Linked DNA regions of Canis lupus familiaris. The protein of the gene in region 1 interacts with the protein of each later gene in a pairwise test. Links are inferred from orthologs where the notes say so. Each region holds a gene or a part of one and is shown in the gene's direction. Other genes may lie near its edges.

The links.
Region 2: the proteins of CCDC33 (region 1) and ABLIM3 interact in a two-hybrid assay, tested with the Homo sapiens proteins (2 studies listed by BioGRID and IntAct). The two-hybrid records come from large-scale screens. The link is inferred for Canis lupus familiaris from reciprocal best matches to the Homo sapiens genes CCDC33 and ABLIM3.
Region 3: the proteins of CCDC33 (region 1) and POLR1C interact in a two-hybrid assay, tested with the Homo sapiens proteins (2 studies listed by BioGRID). The two-hybrid records come from large-scale screens. The link is inferred for Canis lupus familiaris from reciprocal best matches to the Homo sapiens genes CCDC33 and POLR1C.
Region 4: the proteins of CCDC33 (region 1) and EMD interact in binary tests that used the Homo sapiens proteins (3 or more experiments, as listed by UniProt). The two-hybrid records come from large-scale screens. The link is inferred for Canis lupus familiaris from reciprocal best matches to the Homo sapiens genes CCDC33 and EMD.
Region 5: the proteins of CCDC33 (region 1) and GRN interact in binary tests that used the Homo sapiens proteins (3 or more experiments, as listed by UniProt). The two-hybrid records come from large-scale screens. The link is inferred for Canis lupus familiaris from reciprocal best matches to the Homo sapiens genes CCDC33 and GRN.

The regions. Positions count from the first base shown.
Region 1 is NC_049251.1:37,827,573-37,831,081, forward strand, and holds part of CCDC33 (coiled-coil domain-containing protein 33), read left to right. Parts: intron 1-2,296; coding exon 2,297-2,460; intron 2,461-3,509.
Region 2 is NC_049225.1:60,709,736-60,713,685, reverse strand, and holds the start of ABLIM3 (actin-binding LIM protein 3), read left to right. Parts: upstream 1-1,148; 5' UTR 1,149-1,319; intron 1,320-1,679; 5' UTR 1,680-1,766; coding exon 1,767-1,779; intron 1,780-3,950. UniProt on the Homo sapiens protein: May act as scaffold protein. May stimulate ABRA activity and ABRA-dependent SRF transcriptional activity.
Region 3 is NC_049233.1:12,166,409-12,170,549, forward strand, and holds the start of POLR1C (DNA-directed RNA polymerases I and III subunit RPAC1), read left to right. Parts: upstream 1-1,339; 5' UTR 1,340-1,430; coding exon 1,431-1,499; intron 1,500-1,623; coding exon 1,624-1,695; intron 1,696-3,070; coding exon 3,071-3,178; intron 3,179-3,399; coding exon 3,400-3,532; intron 3,533-3,808; coding exon 3,809-3,928; intron 3,929-4,016; coding exon 4,017-4,141. Other genes in the region: protein YIPF3, read right to left, coding at 1-18, 219-416, 1,039-1,119. UniProt on the Homo sapiens protein: DNA-dependent RNA polymerase catalyzes the transcription of DNA into RNA using the four ribonucleoside triphosphates as substrates.
Region 4 is NC_049260.1:123,237,321-123,241,592, reverse strand, and holds EMD (emerin), read left to right. Parts: upstream 1-1,488; 5' UTR 1,489-1,577; coding exon 1,578-1,659; intron 1,660-1,746; coding exon 1,747-1,854; intron 1,855-2,016; coding exon 2,017-2,094; intron 2,095-2,321; coding exon 2,322-2,455; intron 2,456-2,888; coding exon 2,889-2,962; intron 2,963-3,039; coding exon 3,040-3,373; 3' UTR 3,374-3,770; downstream 3,771-4,272. Other genes in the region: collagen alpha-1(I) chain-like, read left to right, coding at 346-705, 768-1,094. UniProt on the Homo sapiens protein: Stabilizes and promotes the formation of a nuclear actin cortical network. Stimulates actin polymerization in vitro by binding and stabilizing the pointed end of growing filaments. Inhibits beta-catenin activity by preventing its accumulation in the nucleus.
Region 5 is NC_049230.1:18,957,489-18,961,768, reverse strand, and holds the start of GRN (progranulin), read left to right. Parts: upstream 1-1,478; 5' UTR 1,479-1,631; exon of another isoform or gene 1,632-1,801; intron 1,802-4,280. UniProt on the Homo sapiens protein: Secreted protein that acts as a key regulator of lysosomal function and as a growth factor involved in inflammation, wound healing and cell proliferation. Regulates protein trafficking to lysosomes, and also the activity of lysosomal enzymes.

The DNA.
Region 1 (3,509 bases):
GCCTGCTTACCCCCACCCCCCACCCCGTAGGGTTTTTCTCTGAGCACTGACCTCCCTCTGTTCCTCCCACCCTGGCCTGGCTCAGGGAACAGGGAGCGGGGAGGAGTAACTCTCAACACCTCTGCAGATGGTGACAGGCCCCCCTGGGCCCTAGTCAAGGGGCACTCCTCAGTCAGAGGGAAGGGGCCCCTGTAGGGTGGCACTTCTGGGCCTGGGAGGTGGGCTTCTCACCTCCTAATTAGTCATCTTGTTAGGCAAGGACCACAGCTTGTACCAAGATGGCCTTTCTGATAAGGTGAGACCTGTAGGAAATGAGGGAGTAAGCCACAGGAATGGACGGGCAGGGGAGGAGGGAACGGCCTGGAAAAGGCTTTGAGGCAGGAGCCAGCTTGGGGTGTGCAAGAAACCCCTGGAGCCAGGGGCAGGGGGCCCAGGGATGAGGTGAGGGCGGCTTCCTGGGCCAGAGGTCCTTACAGGCCTTCGCGGGACTTACAGGTCCTCACAGGCCACTGCGAAGCTCTGGATGGACCGGAGCTGGTGCTTGCAGCAGAGGAGAGATGTGGTCCGACTGTGAAGGATCACGGGGCTGCTCCGGGAGACGGGCTGGGCGGAGGCAGGGTCGGAGAGGAAGTGAGAAAGCAGTCAGGAGCGCGGAAACCCAGTGTCCCGCACCTGAGTGCTTGGTGGTAACGGTGAGAAGGGCTCCGAGTCCAGACCCCCAGACCCGGTTTGAAGCAGGGCTGGAGGAGCATCCCGCTGGGGAAGCGGCCTCCCGGAGCCTGACTGGCCCAGAGCTCTCCCTCCGCCCAGGGCGCATCAGGACTGGGCCAGGGGATCCACTGACGCCCACCCCACCCCCAGAACTGGGTCCTTACTCTTCTCCTGGCCTCCATCTCCCCTCTATGTCACAGGACATTGTTTTGTTTGGTTTTTAAAGATTTTATTTATTCATGAGAGACACACAGAGAGAGGCAGAGACACAGTCCCGATGTGTCCTGATGTCGGGACTCAATCCTGGGACCCCGAGGTCGGGACCTGAGCCAAAGGCAGACGCTCAACCGCTGAGCCACGCGGGCATACCCAGGACATTGTTCTTGATCTCCATGGATGCGTCCTACTTTGAGGACTCCCCCTACCAGGGCCTGCCTTGGAATGCAGGTTCTGACAGGCCGAACTTTCTAGATAAAAGGGCAACCCTCACACCCCCTTCAGGGGCCCATCTCCAAGCTGAGGAGGTCCCTGGCTTCTCTCCTGGGGCATCAGCTAGTGCTGATCGATCAGCAGAGGGATGAGGACGGGGGCAGCCTCTGCCAGGTGAGGCCTAGCACGGGTGGATGTGGGTCACCCACGTCCAGCCCTGGCACTGGGAGTGAGAGTCCAGCAGCCAGTGCAGAGGAAGAGCGGCCCGAGCCACAGCAGTGCAGGTCCACAGCTGTCCCCAGCCCACAGTGTTTACTCCCAAACTGCTGGTTCTGCTGCCCTCCGCGAGTCCTCGTGCCTCCGGAATCAACGCGAGCCTGCCCTGAGCTGTGGGAGCTCCCTCCCCGCCCTGCACCCTGCTCCAGCTCCCCAGTCCTCCCAGCCATATGTGTCCTCCCAGCCCTGTAAGGCCTCCTCTTCCCAGCTGCCTTCTCTGACTGCACCGGCGGCTGCTCCTGTCTCCTCTCCAACAGTCCACAGCTTGGGGATTCAGGGTGCTTGGGGCCCTGAATCCCCAAGCTGTGGACTGTTGGGCTCTTGAACTCCTTCTCACGTGAGTCTGCTTGGGGCCACCAGCCCAGAGGCCCCGTGCGCCGGCAGGCACCTCTCCGCCTTCCCGGTCTGCAGGGTTCTCTGGGTGGAAGATAGAGGGGACACATTCATCTCTTTTTGCTAATGCATCAGGTGACTCCGTGGATGTGGATAAACTTTGTAAAGGGCCGTGCATGGGAAGGGCCTAAGGTTACAGGTGGACTGAGGAAGGCCTGCTGCTAGCACCTCAAAAGCAGGCAGGACTTAGGAATCAGATGCAAGCACCTGCAAAAGCAGAGGCCCAGTGGTGAGACGACTTGAGGGATGAGGCCCGTCTCTCTCTGCAGGAAGTGACGCAGGGCTGGGGCGGATGTGCGTGGGATGTGGGCCAGAGGTGGGGAGAAAATGGGGCCAAAGGCAAATGCCCTGTAGTTCCAAACTGGGTGGAGGGACGACTCAGGGAAAGGCGCTTGGAGGGGAGCCGTAAAGGGCTGGAGTTAATAGGGAGGCTGGAAGGACAGGCAACCACCCAGAGGAGGGCACTCAGCCCTGGCTCTCTCCGCAGGTCGCCGAGAGCCCAGAGGAGCCCCTGAACACCGTCCAGAGCATGGAACCCATCACCAGCCACCTGTCCCCCTCTAATAAGGAGACCATCATGGTTACTCTCCACGGGGCCACCCACCTACCCACCTGCAAGGATGGCTCTGAGCCGTGGCCCTACGTGGTCGTGTAAGTAGTGCTGGGAGCAGAGGTCTGGGCTGGCATTGGGCTGGGAGCAGAAACCAGTGTACGGACATTTGCCCGTGAGCAGCCAAAGGTCGGGGGCGGCACTGTGATACCCAGGGGGGAAGCCAAGTGTGAATCACACAGGGGCTGCAGGCTCCGTCCATGTGAGGCCTGACATCTTCCCTGCTGGGTAGGAAGCCGTGCACAGGGCTGAGGAAGGAAGGAAGAGCCACTCCTTGATCCCGAAGCCAGCTGGGCCGGCTTGGCCACAGTTTGACCTCAGGGAGGTCGGCCCCTCCCCTGCAGGGAGGCCTGGGCTGGGCTCAGAGCAGGGTGGTGGTCAAAGGAAGAAGACCTGAGCCTGCCTCTCTGGGCCTCGGGGTGCCCGATCCGACGATGCCCCATTCCAGGGTAGGTGCTCGCGACCATCCTGCTCCTCAGCCCCCACTACTTCTCAGGTCATTGCTATCACGGGGGATTCCCTAGTTTCTTTAACGCACCCCACACCCCCGCCAGCCAGCTGCAGTCAGGGCACACTTCTCACAGCCTAGTGCCTGAGTGAGGCCTCACTCCTCCCAGAAAGGCATCGAGGAGCAAGAGTGTCCATCCAGCCAACCTTCGGCATGGACGTTGGACGTGCGTTCGGTCTTGATTACAAGGTGCTGTGCAGTAACCCTCCCACAAGCTTGTCGCCCCTGAGCCCCTGTGTAAACAGTGGGAGCCACCAGGGCCTCCCCAAAACCTCCTCTAGGACACCCGGCCTCATTCAGTGCCTGCCGCAGCCCTCTCCCAACACCTGCTGAAATCCCACCTTCAAAGCCTTACCCCTGACGCCTCCTCTTCCAGGCAGTCACCAGAGTTGAGCTCTCCCCGCTCTGGGGTCCAGCACAGCAGTGACACCTCTGAGCAGACGCACTTTACATAAACAGGTGCTGCTCTTGTGTCCCCCAGACTGGGGTTCCAGAGCACAGATCCTCGGTCCGACGTCCCCCCTCCCCATGCGCCCAGCACCGGCCTGAGCACCCACCTGGGGCAGAGGAGCCACTGAGACA
Region 2 (3,950 bases), on another chromosome or scaffold:
ACACGGAACCAAGCTAGTGAGAGGGTTCGGTCCAGTTCCACCACGCTGTGTGTCTGCCCTCGGGCAGGTACTCAGCCTCTGTGACCCCTTCTTTCCCTGTCTCTAAGTCCGGGGTCTGAGGGTTCACGACATCTTGATTCTACACATGCTCTAAGCAGGGATCACGGAGTCTCTCAGTCTTGTTTTGCTGTACCCAAAAGTCATGCTTCTGTGACCATGAATTAGGTTCAGAAGGTGACGGAATAAGGAGTCAGGGGAATGTAAAAAAAAACCCCAAAAACCAAAAAACCCCACCCCACTGAATTAATCATGACCAAAATATCAGAATATAACTTTCCGTAATACACACCTCAAGAACTAATTACTAAAATAATAGTAGTAATAATACTTCAGAGGAGAGTCAGCTGTAGGAAAACTGGGTGAACCGGTGAGGCTGAGTCATAGGGCCCCATACCTGCCTCGGCCTCAGATGGGGAAGAGTCTCCAGGTGGGGCTTCCTAGAGCTTCTTCTCTGAGGACGGCACAGTATCAGGTCCAGAGAGGGCCTGGGGCATTCTATCAACAGATGCTCGTTGATACCTCGGGTGCCAGGCGCTGCGCCAGGTGTTGGGGAGCCCTGTGGAACCCTGCGGACACGGCCCCCACTCTCACTGAGCTGACACTCCAGCGGGTAGGGAGATGATAAACCATCGTCCCAAATGACTCAGTGATAAGGGGTACGGGGGGGGGGGGGGGGGGGGAGGAAGGGACCCAAGGGAGGAGGCCGCAGGAGCCCCTCACGCCTCCGCCCTCGGCCCGGGGGGAGCACGAGGCCTCAGCAGCAGCGACCTGCTCAGGACCGGAGTCGGAGGGCGCCGGGTGGACGTGGACTTGGAAGGGACACCTGTCTTCCTGCAGAGCCCGGCTTTCTCGCCGGCCCCTCCCAGCGACGGCGGGTTTTCCTACGCCGTGGAGCCCGCAGACCCGAGCCCCGAGGGAGCGGGAGGCAGCGCCCGAGCACCGCCCGCCCCGGGCACGGGGTCGCCTCCGCCCGCCCGCCCGCGCGCCCCAGGCCCGGGAGCGGCCCGGGAGCGGCCCGGGGGCGGCCCGGGGGCGGCCCGGGGGCGGGGCCTGGCGAGGCGGCGGCGCGTCCGGCAGGTGGCGGCAGCGAGCGGCCGCGCCCCCCGCGCCGCCGGCCCGCGAGCCCGCACCATGGAGGGCGAGCTCTCCGGTTTCGCTGCGCTCGCCTCGGAATTCGAGACTGCGGACGAGGACCGGGATGCATGAGCCGGCCGCGGGGGCCCGGGCAGGGGCCTCTGGCTCCCGACGCTGGCCGAGAGGTGGGTCCCGGGGCGCTGGCCGCTCCCGAGGCCGGGCGGGGACGCGCTGCCCCCGCCCTGCCTCCCCGCGGTCCACACCCCCTTTGGGCTCGGGAGCCGCGGGGCCGGAGGCGTCGGGGCGCGCGCGGCGGGGCGGGCGCTGGGGGCCCCGCTGCCCGGGCCGGTGCGCTCCCCCGCGCTCCCCGCGCTCCCCGCGCTCCCCGCGCTCCCGCCGCCGCCGCCGCCGCCGCCCTCACCTGCGCGCGCCGGTCCCCGGGCCCCCGAGGCCGGCGGCTGCAGCCCGGCCCGCGAGGGGACGGCCGCGGGGTGAGAGCACCTGAGGATGCGGAGCTGGCCCTGGACCGCCTTTTCACCCCCCAGGTGATGAGTGAGGCCGGGAGGTCGCGAGCTTCCAAGAGCAGCCGGGTCCTGCGTCTTGAATGAGAGACCCAGTGCGAAGGCATCACCATGAACACGAGCAGTAAGTGGGTCCTCCTCTCCTTTGCCATGGGAACAGGCTGGGGGCGGGAGGGGCGGGAGCTGGAGGCAGCCTGGCATCGCGCCGGACACGCGGCCCCCAGACTCCCTCTTGGCCCCTTCCGTGCGCCCCGGAAGGGGGATGTGGGTCCGGCTTTTCCTGACAATTTTGCTCATGTTTTATTGGCAGCAGCACTTGCCTCTGCGGGGAAGGCTGCTCGTCTCCTTCTAGCAATGCCTGGGAAGGCCTAGGAAGCACTAACGAACGTGGCCATTGTCTGGCTGTGGGGGCTCTAGGAGACCTCCCTGCACACAGCTGGAGAGCCATGGAGGGGCCCGGCTTGTCCTGAAGCCGAGAGGAGCAGGGAGGCCGGCCCCGGGCTGGTGGTGGCTGGTGGTGGGTGGATGTGGGCAGGCAGTGGGCTGGGAGCGAGCAGTTTGATAAACAAATCGTCAGGAAGCCACCTTTGGGTCTAGAGATTGTGAAATATCCTGCTCCTGTGCCTGCAGCCCCACGGCCGGGGCTGATTTCTGCACACACCTGCAGGCCGCGTAGCTATCCCGAGAGGAGAGAAAAGAGACAAGCCCTTTGGCCAAGATCTCTAACATGCCAGGGGTAACAACTGCTTTGCAGAGACAGGACCAGACATTTTGCTGCTGGGCTGGGCCTCAGCTGCTGAGAAATGCAGGCAGAAATACAAGGAGGCCCTGTATGTGTCTCTTCAGTGTGGTCCCTGTGACCATGGGCACCCACTGTGACCACCACCCTGGAGAGGAGATCTGGGTTCAAGTCCTCCCCCTCCCGCCTCCTCATCAGCTCAGCTTGTCTGGGTGCTCCCAGGAGCAGGTGGGATCGTTGAAGCGGAGGACCCAAGGAACATTCGGTTCCCTGGGTCTGTGACTTTCCCATCAGTCTCCTCTCTGGATCCCAGATTGCTGGTCTGTGAAATGAGAAGGGTTGAATCTAAATCTGTAAGTTTCTTTTTAAAAAGCGAGAGCCGAACAGCAAGACCAGAAAAATCAGTACCTTCTGAGGCTGTGTCCAGACCAAAGCCACCGTTTCTCCACCCTCCCTCCATTTCAAGGCTGTTGGCCTGGAGGGGAGGAAAACAAAGCAAAAGCCAGTGAGATGGAAATGAAATATATTTATTTACTATGTATTTGTATGACTCATCCCTCTGCTCTCTTCCTTTGTGTATTACATAGCTCTGCTAAGCGAGTGTGGCTGAACTCCCTCTGCCTCTTCCAACCAAAGAATTTTGCCTCTTGATTGTGACAGGCAGGAACGGTGCTTTGGCTTCACACCGGGCTCTGGAAAAGAGCAAAATTCTGTAGATCTGATCACCTAGGTGGGCCACATGTTTCCCCCTGCGTGCTTTCAGACGAGTAAAGATGTGAGCCGCCTGTCACTTCTCACTATCTCTAGGGGAAAGATGTAGTTATGGGAGTCCTTTCTCACTACATGATAGGAGAGAAAGATGGCTCATCTGTTTTTCAAAAAACTAAGAAATAAGTTCACAAGCAGCTGGCCTTACCCTTTTGTCTTGTCCCATTAGCAACACCGAATATGCCTGAAAGAAGGAAACAGCTTTTACTTTTTTTTTTTTTTAAACAAACAACAACCAATTGAGCTGAATACCGCAGGAGACAAGGACTCACAAAAATGCTACTCCAGCCTCGTATACTTTTTTCTAAGTAGGGAGAGTGTGTTTATTTTCCAGAGGTAGTGGAAAATAAACAGAGTAGCATGACTTGGGTGACCGCTGAGGTCCCCGTAAGAAGTGCTCCTCTAAGGGCTACCCTGGGGAGCACTGTGGCCACTGGTGCTCAAGGCTTGGAGGCGGGGCTCCATCATCCCTGAGGCTGCTTCCAAGCCTGAGAGTCTGCAAATGGAGAATATAGAAGTCAGACCTCATATGAGCGAAGCAATGCCAAGGCCATAGGGGCTGGGCGTTGGCAGGAAGTCCTTGAGGTGACCTGATCAAAGCAAAAATGCTCTCCCCTTGGGGATGTAAAATTCTTACTTAATCCTGGTACCTGAAATGGAACCTAAGAGACAATCTTACTCAGTTTTTCTCTCCCTTCCATTTATTGGATCCTCACCCTCCACCAGTCACTGTGCTCAGCATCGTACCTGTATGATCTCCCCAACTGTCACCCGCACCCTGGGAGATG
Region 3 (4,141 bases), on another chromosome or scaffold:
CTTCCCTGCCTGCCACATCTGCAGTAAGGAAGACGGAGTGAAGTGGGTAGGTACTGCGAGAGGTTCTTGGCCATAGTCCCTGTCGCTCACTTTCTATTGGCCTTCTACACAGTTCTAATGGGTTAGGCGACATGGGGGTGAACTTTAACATCAACTCCAGCACTTGGGGGCCTTCCTAAGTATACTTTTCCACCTGCTAGGGATCCAATCCTGCTTACCTGATCTGCCACTTGCCGGCTCAGCTGTCCCTTAAAGCCCTTCATGCCCAGGAACTCCCCATCCTCTTCTTCAGCAGCAGCTGCATCAGCATCTACTTCTTCTTCACGCAGGCGCTGATGCAGTTCACCCATATCCTCAAAGCTGGAGCCTGAGGTATCATCCATGTTCTCCATGTCAATCACAGCTGAGCCCCCACCCTGTGAAGACAATGGCTTCTAGAGTGCAGGCCCTTTCTGTTCCATCCGCGGGTCCTCCTCCGTTCCTCCCAGGATTTGGGACTTTGTTCTTCCACTGCTGGGGATATGGCTTGGAATCACCATAGATCATACCACTCTCTTCCCCTCATCTGCTCTCAGAATCCTTGGTTGTCTGGCTCTCTTTTCTAGCCTGGGAAACCTACCCCCTGTCTTGCATATATGTCTTTCTTCTACCTTCCCTATCAAATCCTCAGAGGGCTGCAAAAGTGCCCGTTTTGTCTTTTCCAATCCCCAAACAAGGCTGTGCACACAGCATGGTTTTAGCCAGCGCCGGTGAATACCGCCCACTCCCTCGCCATGCCTGGCCCCGATCGACCAACAAACTTGTCTCGAAAGCAAGAGCAGGCAGGCCCAGAGGCACGAGGCCCTCTGGCTGGAGCACCAGTCTGGACCTTTGAGGTCAGCACCAGTCCCACTACCTTCCGTGTACACCAAGAGCCAAAGGAGAGGACAAGTGTTGCAAATGGAGCAGACTTCCAAGCTCCCAGGGAGAGTCCCCGCGACGCTTCAGGACGGCTGCCGGCCCTGCGGCTGCCGGCAGCCGGAGCCCTGGGGCGATTACCTGGATGTTTTCTTCGAACCCTCCCCATTCCGGGCCGGCCCCGCTTCGGGCGCCGCCAGCCGGCGCCGCCGTAGTTGCCATGTCCCTCGAGGGCTCCCGTCGCTGAAGCCCGCGCTAGTCCCGCGCGCGGAGGAGGAGTGGGAGAGACGTGGGCCTGAAGGAGGGAGATGTCTAGGGGCGAAAAAGAGCGGTGGGTTCAGCCGGAACGCAAAAAGGAGAAACCCGGATGTTTGGCCCAAACCGACTTCCGGAAGCTGGGGACGTGGACGGAGGCTGCACAGAATCTCGCGATATTTAACATCCCGGGAGGCGGTGCGTTGCCATGGAGACGAAGGAGGGCGACTGGGACGCGCGCGCCAGTTTGCTGCCCTAGTCACGTGGAGGGGTAGAAGATGGCGGCCGCCCAGGCGGTGCAAGAGATGCGGACCCGCGTGGTTCTAGGGGAGTTCGGGGTTCGCAATGTAAGCCCGTGGCCTTGAACTCGGCAAGAGAAATGAGAGTGGAACAGGAGGGATGAGTTGGGATCGGAGTTGGGGCGGGTTTGCCCTACCTGCCCCTTCGCAGACTCGTCTCTCTTTGGTCTAGGTTCATACCACCGACTTTCCCGGTAACTATTCCGGCTATGATGATGCCTGGGACCAAGACCGCTTCGAGAAGGTAGGTGGGGCTGGAGAGGGTATTGGGAACGGATCGTGTGATCTGAGCGGCCTGTGCTTTGGAAACTGCCCGTGGGATTCGCTGCGTTCATAAAACGTTTATTGAGCAATATGCTAGGCCCTCCGTGTACATGGTCTGTGCCCTGTTCGTCGAACAAGATGTTTAATCTTGTTGAAGAGCACGCATAAATGACTCCAGTATGATGTAAAGGTGGTTGGTAGCGATAAGAAAGGACAGTCGTGACTAGGGTGACCCCTGAGGGGCACTTAATCTGGAACGGAAAGCGGGGCAGCGGTATGGAAGATTTCCTTCCTGCAGGAGATGACATCTGAATTGAGCCCTGAACGATGAGTAAAATCTGAGAAAGGGTAAGGGTGAAGGTGGGGGGACGAAGACTAGAAGCTACATTATAAAGGCTTTGTGAACTGTGTTCCAAGAACGTCCAGTTTATTATTGCTAGAATGTAAAGTCGGGCAGCATGAGTGCTAGGCAAGATTGAAGTGCATCTTAGACACTGTAGGTGATAGGGGAAGTTTTGAAGAGCTCTGAGCCAGATGTGATCTGATTTGCATCCTTAACTGTTGGGAAAGATCATAGAGGGTAGTCAGATTTGTGACAGAATTGCATAGAGGAGCTGAGGTTGAAGGTATGAACTAAAATGATAATCAGGAAAGTAGAGCAAAAAGGAGACATGATAAATTTGGTGACTGTTTTGATGTGGGCTGTGAGGAGGGAGTATAAAATAACCTACCTTGAGGAACTGCTTTAATGGATGGTGGTGCCATTTACTGATGAAAAATAGGTCTGGGGAAGGGGAATGATGCTGCATTGTTTCCTGAATGTGAGGTCTAGCAGGCCAGTAAAATGTGTGTTTGAAAGGAGATGAGAAGTGAGAATTTGGGAGTTTTCTGTATATATAGTTGTTAAACCCATGAGCGTGATTGAGGTCACTTTGGAGAGAGATAAAAATCCAGAAAATAGTGACTTTATGGAGTGGGTAGGAGATAGTGAATTTAGAAGGATTCATTGGAGGAGAAAGAACCAGAAGATTGGTGCTCAGAAACCAAGGCAGAGTTGGAAAATGGAGGGATTCTATCAATGCCCGATGGAGGAGTCTAGTAAGAAAGGACAGAGTAGAATGGTCTCTGTGGGTGGTCTGGTTGGAGGATTTAAATGAATAGAGGATAAAAATGGGAACTTTTCAAGAAGTTCATGAAGAATTGGGGGAGAAGGGAACAGCTATGAGGTACATCTGGCCAAAGGGAGGTTCTTGGGTGAGTGGGAACATTGTTGCTGGGGCTGGGGGATATCCAGAGGGACGGTATTGATTCCACAGAGGCCAAGGCTTCATTTAGTGCATTTTCTGTCCCTGTAGAATTTCCGTGTGGATGTAGTGCACATGGATGAAAACTCATTGGAGTTCGACATGGTGGGAATTGATGCAGCCATTGCCAATGCTTTTCGACGCATTTTATTAGCTGAGGTATTTATTGGTGGGCATGGTGGCAGGGACGGAGTTGGGTGGAAACTGAGCCATCACCTTACTTGGAGAATTCTTAGGTTGCTCCTTTCATTTTCCTGAGCATTCCTCCTGAACTTTTCATCAGGTGTTTTTCTGGGAATAGGGCCCCCTGTGTCAGGAAGTAGGAGTAAATAGGGAGTCTGTAGGGTCTCTGTAGATGAATGATTTTATTTTTTGGGCAGGTGCCAACCATGGCTGTGGAAAAGGTCCTGGTGTACAACAACACATCCATTGTCCAGGATGAGATCCTTGCTCATCGCTTGGGGCTTATTCCCATTCATGCTGATCCTCGTCTTTTTGAGTATCGGAACCAAGGTCAGCGCTTGAGAAAACGAAATTGTGGCAAAATGGGAACAGCTGTCTCCTAAAGTAGATTCTAGAGGATCTACTGCCTACGTTCAAATCCTGGCTTGATTACTGTGACCATGAGCAAATCACTAATGTTTTGGTACATCAGTTCTGATCTGTGTGAACACTTGCCCTGGTCTTCTGAAATTGGAAATTTGTCCGAGGAGTAAATGAGAAGTGTAGATTAATGCACTCAAATACTCAGTCGTTCTTTAAGAGCTGCCACTTTCATCCTTTGTTCAGGGGATGATGAAGGCACAGAGATAGATACTCTGCAGTTTCGGCTTCAAGTCAGGTGCACACGGAACCCCCATGCTGCTAAAGATTCCTCTGACCCCAATGAACTCTATGTGAACCACAAAGGTGAGTGGTGGTATGGTGAGTAGGAAGGCCCACCTCTTGATGGGTACTAGTTTTAAGGATTGATGTTTTCCTGATGTGCTTTCTCCAGTGTACTCCAGGCACATGACATGGGTGCCCCTGGGGAATCAGGCTGACCTCTTCCCAGAGGGCACGATCAGACCCGTGCATGATGATATCCTCATTGCTCAGCTGAGGCCTGGCCAGGAGATTGAC
Region 4 (4,272 bases), on another chromosome or scaffold:
TCGAGTCTGTGTGTGTGTTCACACCAAGGCCCCATCTCACCACTCCCTGTGTGGCTTCCTCTTCTCCATCCTGTGACCCAAGGAGAACTGGTCTGTGACCCTCACCAGCTGGACCAGGATGAATCGGAGACCTGTCTCTTGTCCCTGTCACTAGCTATCATCTGATATCAAAGATAGCACCTCTTCTCCCTATGCTCCTAGTTCTGGGCCTCCGGGGGGGGGGGGCGCTTCATTTGTACCCACATTCCCTGAGTTGGCTTCATTTAGAATATGATTGTCACCACCTTTCCAATCCCCCCAGAACAGCTCTTTGCGACCAAGGCCTTCACGAATTCCTAATGACAGTGCAGGCTCTCCACGGCCTTGCAACCTCGCGCGCTCACCCGCGAGTACGCCGGGGCCCCCTGTGCTCGGCTCACCCCGGGGCCCACCCAGGCCCAAGCGCGCAGAGCCGGCCCAGCAGGTCGTCGGGGGCTTGAAGGCTCCCCGCCCCCCCAGGCTGCCACGGGGACGCCCTGGACAGCAGAGGAAAGCCCCGACGCCCCAGGTGGCTGGCGCGGGGGTCGGGCGCACGCTGGCCGCCGCCCGCACGCCGGGCTCGGCCCCCTGCCAGCGCCCACGGGCACGCCCAGTGCCTTGCAAGGATGCCCGCTCCTGGGGTGCCCGCGGCCTCCTGGCCCAGTGCCCCATTTCCTCCCGGGCGCAGTGGGAGGGAGGGAGGGAGGGAGGGTGGGAGGCGCTGGGGACCTGCGGGACGACGGGCGCAGGTGGAGAGCGGAGCGGGGCGGGGTGGCACCGGGGGCCGAGGCGGCTGCTGCCCGGGCCTGGGCCCCGCGGCCCCGAGGGCCCGCTCTCGGGATCGGGGTCCCTTCGCGCTGCGGCGGAGGCGCGGCCGGCCCGGGGCGGCCGGGGAGCGCGGGGTGCGGAGGGGGCAGGGGGCTGCGGGGACCGTCGGAGCCCGCGTGACTCAGGGAGCGCGAGCCGCGCCCAGCGCGTCAGTCCTGCGCCGCTTTCCTGTCCTGGCCGGTTTCTGCCGGTTCGACTTGCGTAGGTCCCCACCCCCGCCCTCCCGACCCCGACACGCCAGCCGGTGACGCCTCGACCGCCCGCCCCGCCCCGCCCCCACGTCGCGGCGAGCCCACGCTCGTCCCCGCCCCCGCAAGCCCGACTCCTCGCTCGAGCCCCGCCCCTGCGCGCCAGCGCGTGACGCCCCTCGGCCGGCGGGCCCCGCCCCTCCGGAGCGCGGCCCCGCCCCGCCGCCGCCGCCAGCCTATCCCGCCCGCTTGCGACGTCTGACGTCATGACGCCCGCCCCGCCCGCTCCCACGGTCCCCCGCTCCGCGCCGGCGCCGCCGGCCCGGCCCCGCCCCGCCCCGCGCGCAGTCCGCAGAGCCCGCGGCCGTGACGCGAGCGTGACGCAGGCGTGACGCGAGCGCTGCCGCTCCCGAGACGCTCGCGCCGCCCCCGCCGTGCTCGGAGGCAGCGGTAGCTGGGCCCGCGTCGCCAGGCCCGGGCCCCCCCAGCTCCCCGCCGCCCGCCGCCCGCCAGGCCCGGGCCCCCGGGTCCCCGCCGCCCGCCATGGACGACTACGCGGTCCTGTCGGACGCCGAGCTGGCCGCCGTGCTGCGCCAGTACAACATCCCGCACGGGCCTGTCGTGGGTACGCGGCGGCGAGCGCGCCCCCTCCCCGCCCCCCCCCCGGGGTCCGGCCCGCGGCCCTGACGCCCCGCGTCCCGTGTCTGGCCAGGTTCCACTCGCAAGCTCTACGAAAAGAAGATCTTCGAGTACGAGACCCAGAGGCGGAGGCTGTCGCCCCCCAACTCGTCCGCCTTCAATTTCTCCTATCGGTTCTCGGGTGAGGCCCCCGCCCCGGATCTCCACCTGGCCTCCCAGGGGGACGGGGTTTGGGCGACGGGGGGCACGGGGTCCGGAGGGTGTGGCAGGGGCGGTGGCTGGGAGGGGCACAGGAAGAAGGGAGGGGAGCCGGGGGCAAATGGTCCCGCCCCCCCCCCCTCAGACTTAGATTCGGCATCCGTGGACTCGGATATGTACGATCTGCCCAAGAAAGAAGACGCCTTGCTTTACCAGAGCAAGGGTAAGGCTGGGCGGGCGGGGGGGGGGCACCCTGGGGGGGGCACCCTGTCACCCTTACCCCCTCCCTCAGGGAGCCTGGTGTTGGGGGGACCTGGGATCTCAAGCCCGTCATCCTCAGCAGCCCCAGAGGGGAGAGACGGTGCCACAGGCTCCCACGTGGGACTGAGATTAGGGCCAGGTGGGCGCAGCCACTGTGCACCTTGCTACCGCTCTCCCCCCCTTCCCAAGGCTACGGCGATGACTACTACGAGGAGAGCTACCTGAGCACCAGGACCTACGGGGACCCTGAGCCTGTGGGCTCCTCCAAGGGCTTCCGCCAGCCATCAGCTTCACTCGCAGATTCGGACACCTTTCACCACCAGGTGAGTTGGCTGCCGAGCACCTGCATACAACCTGTGGGGGTCATAGCTGGGCTTGGACAAAACCTGGACGGGGGGGGGGGGGGGGGGGGGCGCACGCGGTAGGCCCTGTGCTTCCCGAGAGGCAAGGTAAGTGCACACCTCCCTTGGCAGGGCCGTCCTTGGGGGAGTGTCAGACCTAACACTAGGGCACCTGGGACGCCGTGCACCCTGACCTGGGATCTAGGTTTGAGATCTTTCTCAGACCCCCCGGGGCAGAAAGTAAGGTGCAGGCGGCCAGGATACCTGTCGAGTTGTGGAGCGGGTGACAAAGCCCTACCGGGCTAAGGCTGGTAACTCAGGAGGGTTTTGGAGGGAACAGGGTCCGGGTGTTTCAGCTAGGCTAGTTTGCAGTGAGGACGGGACAGGCTACAGGCTGCTGACTCTGCTGGCCAGTTCCCCTCTCCCTGACTGTTACCTGCAGGTGCGCGATGACAGTCTCTTCTCTTCTGAAGAGGACAGCAAGGACAGGTGAGTGGCAGGAAGGGCCAGGCAGCGGGTGGTTCTGGGCGCAGGCCCCCTGGCTCACCTGCTGTCCTCTGCCTCAGGGAACGCTCCGGGTATGGCCGGGACAGCGCCTACCAGAACATCGTGCACTACCGCCCTGTTTCCAACATCTCCAGAAGCTCCCTGGGCCTGTCCTATTATCCCACACCCTCTTCCACCTCTCCCATATCCTCATCTTCATCTTCCCCCACTTCGTGGCTCACCCGTCGTGCTATCCGGCCAGAAAAGCAGGCCCCTGGGGCTGGTCTGGGCCAGGACCGCCAGGTCCCACTCTGGGGCCAGCTGCTCCTGTTCCTGGTCTTTGCTGCCTTCCTGCTCTTTGTTTACTACTCCATGCAGGCTGAGGATGGCAATCCCTTCTGGACGGAGCCCTGAGGGGCTGGCTTCGTGGCCAGCTGTTCCCGGAAGTCCTGGCTGACTGCCTTAGTAGTGTCTGCTGGGGGAGGGGGTGGGGGCTTTTCTGTGTGTTCTAGCTTCGGTGTGCTGGGCTTGGCCCAGGGCAGTGCTTGCTCCCCTGCCTCGTTCTGCCCAGGAGGTGGCAAGCCCAGGCCCTCCGCGGCATGGCGGGCCCGGGCAGGCCTTCCTCTGGAGTCTCCTGGTCCTGCTTGCCTCTGATCCAGGGCCCAGGAGGGTAAGACCCTTCTCCTGGAGAGGAGAACATGGTTGTTGTCATTGCATGCCTCCTGTCTGTTGTCACCTCGTCGGGGGGGATTAACCCAGGCCACCCTGACTTTGTTTTCGTGGACACAATAAAAAGACCATTTATTTTTAACGTGTGGGCTCTCTTTGCTGGGAAGGACTTGGGCTGGGAGCCTCCAGGCCTTGGGTCTCCACGAGCAACATCTGGCTTTGTTCGCTCTCCCTTCTTGCTTTGGGGTTGGGGTAGGGATCGCATGCTACCCACGGGCACGTTTGTGCTTTACTGGTAGGGTTTGCTCCCTGACTCGTGACCCAAAGCTGCTGTAACTAGGCAAAGAAGCGTGCCCCCACGGGATGCAGAGAGCTCCCCCATAAATGCAGGTGAGGGTGCGTGCACAGCACTGGCTACAGATGTTCCGACAGGGAGGAGCCGACAGCCGGCCTCAGTACCCAAGGGCAGGTGGACAGGGAGGAAATGCGGCGAGTGGCGGGCTCCTCCCGGGCGGCCGCTTGTCCGGGGGGGGGGAGAGGCCCACAGGATGCCGCATCACCCCTGTGTAAATCCCACCCCTCACCTGCCTATGTTCTTGCTTATCTCCAGGTTTTCTGTGCGGGAGGCGAGCACCTCCACCTGC
Region 5 (4,280 bases), on another chromosome or scaffold:
AAAATGTGTGTGCCCATACTTTATTAATGGAAGCATAAATGGGACCTCCCCTTGCCTCAGGATACTCAGGAGGTAAACTGTGTACAAATGTCACTAGCGTACAGGGTTGTCCTGATTCTCAGCAGGAGCCTCACACACTCTCCAGACCCTCTCTAGCCCCAGGCTGAGCACCACTGCCACACACAATTCCCCAACCCTGCTACTCCCACACACAGAATGCCACCACCCCTGAATTGGGGTGTTTGTCATCTCCCCCAGCCACCCCTCTGCCCAAGCTCTTTGTTGAGCCTGTGGTGCTCTCCATCCACACTGTACCACCAAACACTGCCTGTCCCCCTAGCCTGGCACTGGGCTTTCTCTGGGCCTCTCCTCTTTCCTGGTGCATCTATCAACCATTTTTGGCCTGAGCCAAAATGGCCTTTTGGCACGGAGCAGCCTGGCTCTTGTTGCTGGCCAATCTGTTCTGTGTAGTACCTTTCTCTCCTCACCGGTTATTTCAATTCCTGGAAGGCAAGGCTGACTCTAACGAGGAAGCCACTTCCACTATGCTCCCACCCCCAGCCCAAGCCTCGTGTCAGGCACCCAACAGCTCCTCAAGCCCACTACGTTGTACTTGGCATTTAATCCCTGCCCAACGCTGCTCTTCCCATCTGGTTTCCTAATGCTCTTCCTAACACCCCCTGCTCAGGAGCTTTGCCAACCCCTGTCCACCTGCCAGTTAACATTCTCCCAGGTTCAGCTCCAAAAGGTGTCCTTAAAGGGGCGCCTGGGTGGTTCACTTGGTTGAGTATCTGCCGTTGGCTCAGGTCATGATCCTAGGGTCTAGGATCAAGCCCCAGTCCAGCTCCCTGCTCAGCAGGGAGTCTGCTTCTCCCTCTCCCTCCGCTCATGCTCGTTCTCTCAGATAAATAAATAAATAATTTTTAAAGTGCCCTTAAGGTAGAATTAAATCTTTTCCTCCCTGCCAAGAGCCAATCTTCCACCTCTGCCCTACACACATCCATTAATACCTGGCACACGATCTTGCACCTTAAATTAGATTGAACGTGAGCCTGTCTCATCTCTCTACCCACTCACACCCGGCCAGGAGCACCCTGAGGAAAGGGCCTGAGAGCTGTCTATCCTTGCCCTCACAACCCTCCCTTCGGGGCCTGGCTGCCCAGCATTTATTCTGAGTTCGTTGAATACAAAAGAAACAGGATGCACAGGTGTCCCTAACCCAGAAGCAGACATCCTGTAAACGCCCTGGAGTGCACCCCCTAAGGGGCAGCTCCCTTCGCCGGCCAACGCACTCCGGGGCCACACCACCTCGGGAAGACTCCGCCAGGCGCCCGCAGCCCGGCCGAGCCCGGCCAGGACGTCACATGATTCTCCAATCACATGATCCCATAAAACAGTGGAGGGGGGAGGGTGGGAAGCGAGAAGAAGGGAGGGACGACCGCGAATTGAGTAAGAAAAAAAAGCAGAGCTTTGCAGGCTGGCCCCGCCTCTACCGTCGAGCAGCAGCCAGTAGGAGCGCGACAGCCCGGACGCCTGGCCAATGGGAACGGAGGTGGGCGGGCCGTCGCGCCGCAGGCCCTAGTCCCGAGCTGCCCGGCCCGGCTTCGCAGCGAGCGCGGGGCCGGTCACAGGTAAGGAGGGTGGCCGCGCAGACCTCTCGCTTCCTCGGCAGTTCGGCCGGGCGGACGTGAGGGCTTGAGGCTCGTCTGGAGTTTCAGCCGGGAGGCAAGAGAAGACTGGCTCAGAGAAGCTCCTTTGGGGCTTTCCGATGCACAGGAGGCAGTTTTACGGGGGGCCGGGGGTAAGCAGTGATTGCAGTGACCCCCACGAGAAGGGGGCTCTCTCCCTCTCCAGCGGCTCCGGAAGCTGCAGCCCCTTCCCCAGAGCAGGGACCACCCCATTCTTGAGCCGGCTCCGGGCCGGTCCGGGTGCTGCTGCTGGTGCTGCTGGTGCTGCTGCTGGTGGTGCTGGGTGGTCCCCGGGGCACTGGGAGCGAGAGAGGCGCGCGCCCTGGTCCTGGAGCTCAGAGGGCTGCGAGTGGGCTGGTGGCCCTGCCCCCTCCAGGGTAGCAGGGCCGGGGGGGTGGTGACCGAACGCGGGGGTTGGGTCTGCCGCTCCCGTACTTCCTCTCGTGGGGGGTGGGACCAGCCAACTTCCGCCTCTCCCGGCCACTTTTCCTGCTCACTCGCAGTTGGGTTGGCTCACCTTTTGGGAATCTCTCTCCTGACGCTGGGAGTTGGGGGCTGCCACCTAGTGGAAGATGGCAGAGCTGGGGGCTTGGAGAGGCTCCTGTCCCTCTCTACCTTGGGAGTGGGGGGTGGCGGGAGAGAGGTCATCCTTGGTTGTGAGTGTGTGCGCGCGTCTGTGCATTGGTATCCACTAGAAGCACACGCTGTACTCCCTAACTTTAGGATGCCAAAGACTGCCCCGTGGTCCCAGATTTGTGCAGACAGGCACCTCTTCCGGCCTAAGCCAGGACAAGGGACAGCCTACGGAAGGTTGAGGTGTGACTCCCAAGAAGTAGGCGGGACGAGTCTTGCCTGGAGCTGTGAGTGTAGAGGAGAGGGTGAAAGGGGCCAAGGTATAGGACCAGCCAGGCGGTGTCCCCTGGAAACGGTCTCTGAGCTGGGACTGGGGCCGCGAAGAGAGCCAGGTGAGGGAGAGAAGGATGCAAGTGACTGGCTGGGTGTAAGTCGTCGCCACACCCAGTGTGCAGTGTCCACACAGACTCATGGGGGAACTGAGGCCCCAAGACAGCAACTTTTGAGGCTCTCACCATCAGTGGTGGCAATTCTAGGACTAGCACCCCAGTGCAGTATCCAGCACCCCTGTGCTTCTCATTTCTGTCCTGCCTTGTCCACCTGCTCAGAAAATGCTTCTGTCTCCCTCCTCTGCTTGGACCCCAGGCCTCTACTCTCCTGGGGTTCAGGGGTCCATTCCTGGGCACTGTGCATGGTGCCACCTGGTGACATGAACCCAAGTCTGGTATGCTTTGTAGCTCTCAAAGCCTGTCATCTCCATGACTGGATATATGACAAGGGCATGTTACCGAACTTCTCTGAGCCTCAAAGTAAAGGTAATTAGTACTTTGGATGGCTGTTGCAAAAAAGAAAGAAAATAGGATAGAGTATTGTAACTGGCCCGGGAAAGGCTCAACAAACTTTTTTTTTTTTAAGATGTTATTTATTTATTTATTTATGAGACACAGAGAGAGGCAGAAACACAGGCAGAGGGAGAAGCAGGCTCCTTGCAGGGAGCCTGATGCGGGACTCGATCCCCAGACCCTAGGATCACACCCTGAGACAAAAGCAGACACTCAACTTCTGAGCCAACCAGGCATCCTGAAGCTCAATAGACATTACTAGTCTTGCCCCTCCAGGCAGGGTAACATCTTCTGGGCCCATCCCATTGAACTAGTAGGGCTGGCTGAGCTTGGAATACTCATTTAGGAAGTCAGAGGTTACTCCCCAGAGACTCATGATTGGTTTCTTCTGCTAGTGCAGCTGTGTGAGTGCATGTGATCTTCTTCCTGTACTGCTGAGTTTCAGCTTCCGGGTAGGGGGTCGGCAGGGTTTGGGGGTGGTATGTTTGGGGAGTCTTAAAGGGCCTGGTGGTGTTGGGGGAGCCCAAGGGCACAGGTGTCTCAAAGGCTGGCCCGGCCTGTGCACCCCTTCCCTGGGTGGTTGGGGACAGCTGGGGGGGTAGGTATGGCTGGCCTCTGGGGTAGGCAGCCCAGATTCCACGGGCTACCACACTTCCCTTTTTTTTTTTTTTAATTTATGATAGTTACACAGAGAGAGAGAGAGGCAGAGACACAGGCAGAGGGAGAAGCAGGCTCCACGCACCGGGAGCCTGACGTGGGATTCGATCCCGGGTCTCCAGGATCGCTCCCTGGGCCAAAGGCAGGCGCTAAACCACTGCGCCACCCAGGGATCCCCACACTTCCCTTTTCATAACTTTCTCAACACCCTGGTTTCCCACGTCATCATGTGACACCCCTCCCCCACCCCACACAGGGAGGCTTCTGGAGGGGCTGGCTGGGGAAGTGGAACCCCAGCTTTTCTTCAAAGGGGGACTCCCTCTTTGCCCCCCAGCCCAGTCCTCCCATGGCCACTGATGCCTCACCCACTCCCTGGAGGTGCCCCATGTCCCTACAGATCAGACCCACAAACCCCACAAATTTTCCTTTCACAGACTTACATCTTTTTTTTTAAGATTTTTTTTTTTTTAAAGTATTCTCTGCACCTAGCATGGGGCTCAAATCTACAACGTCAAGATCA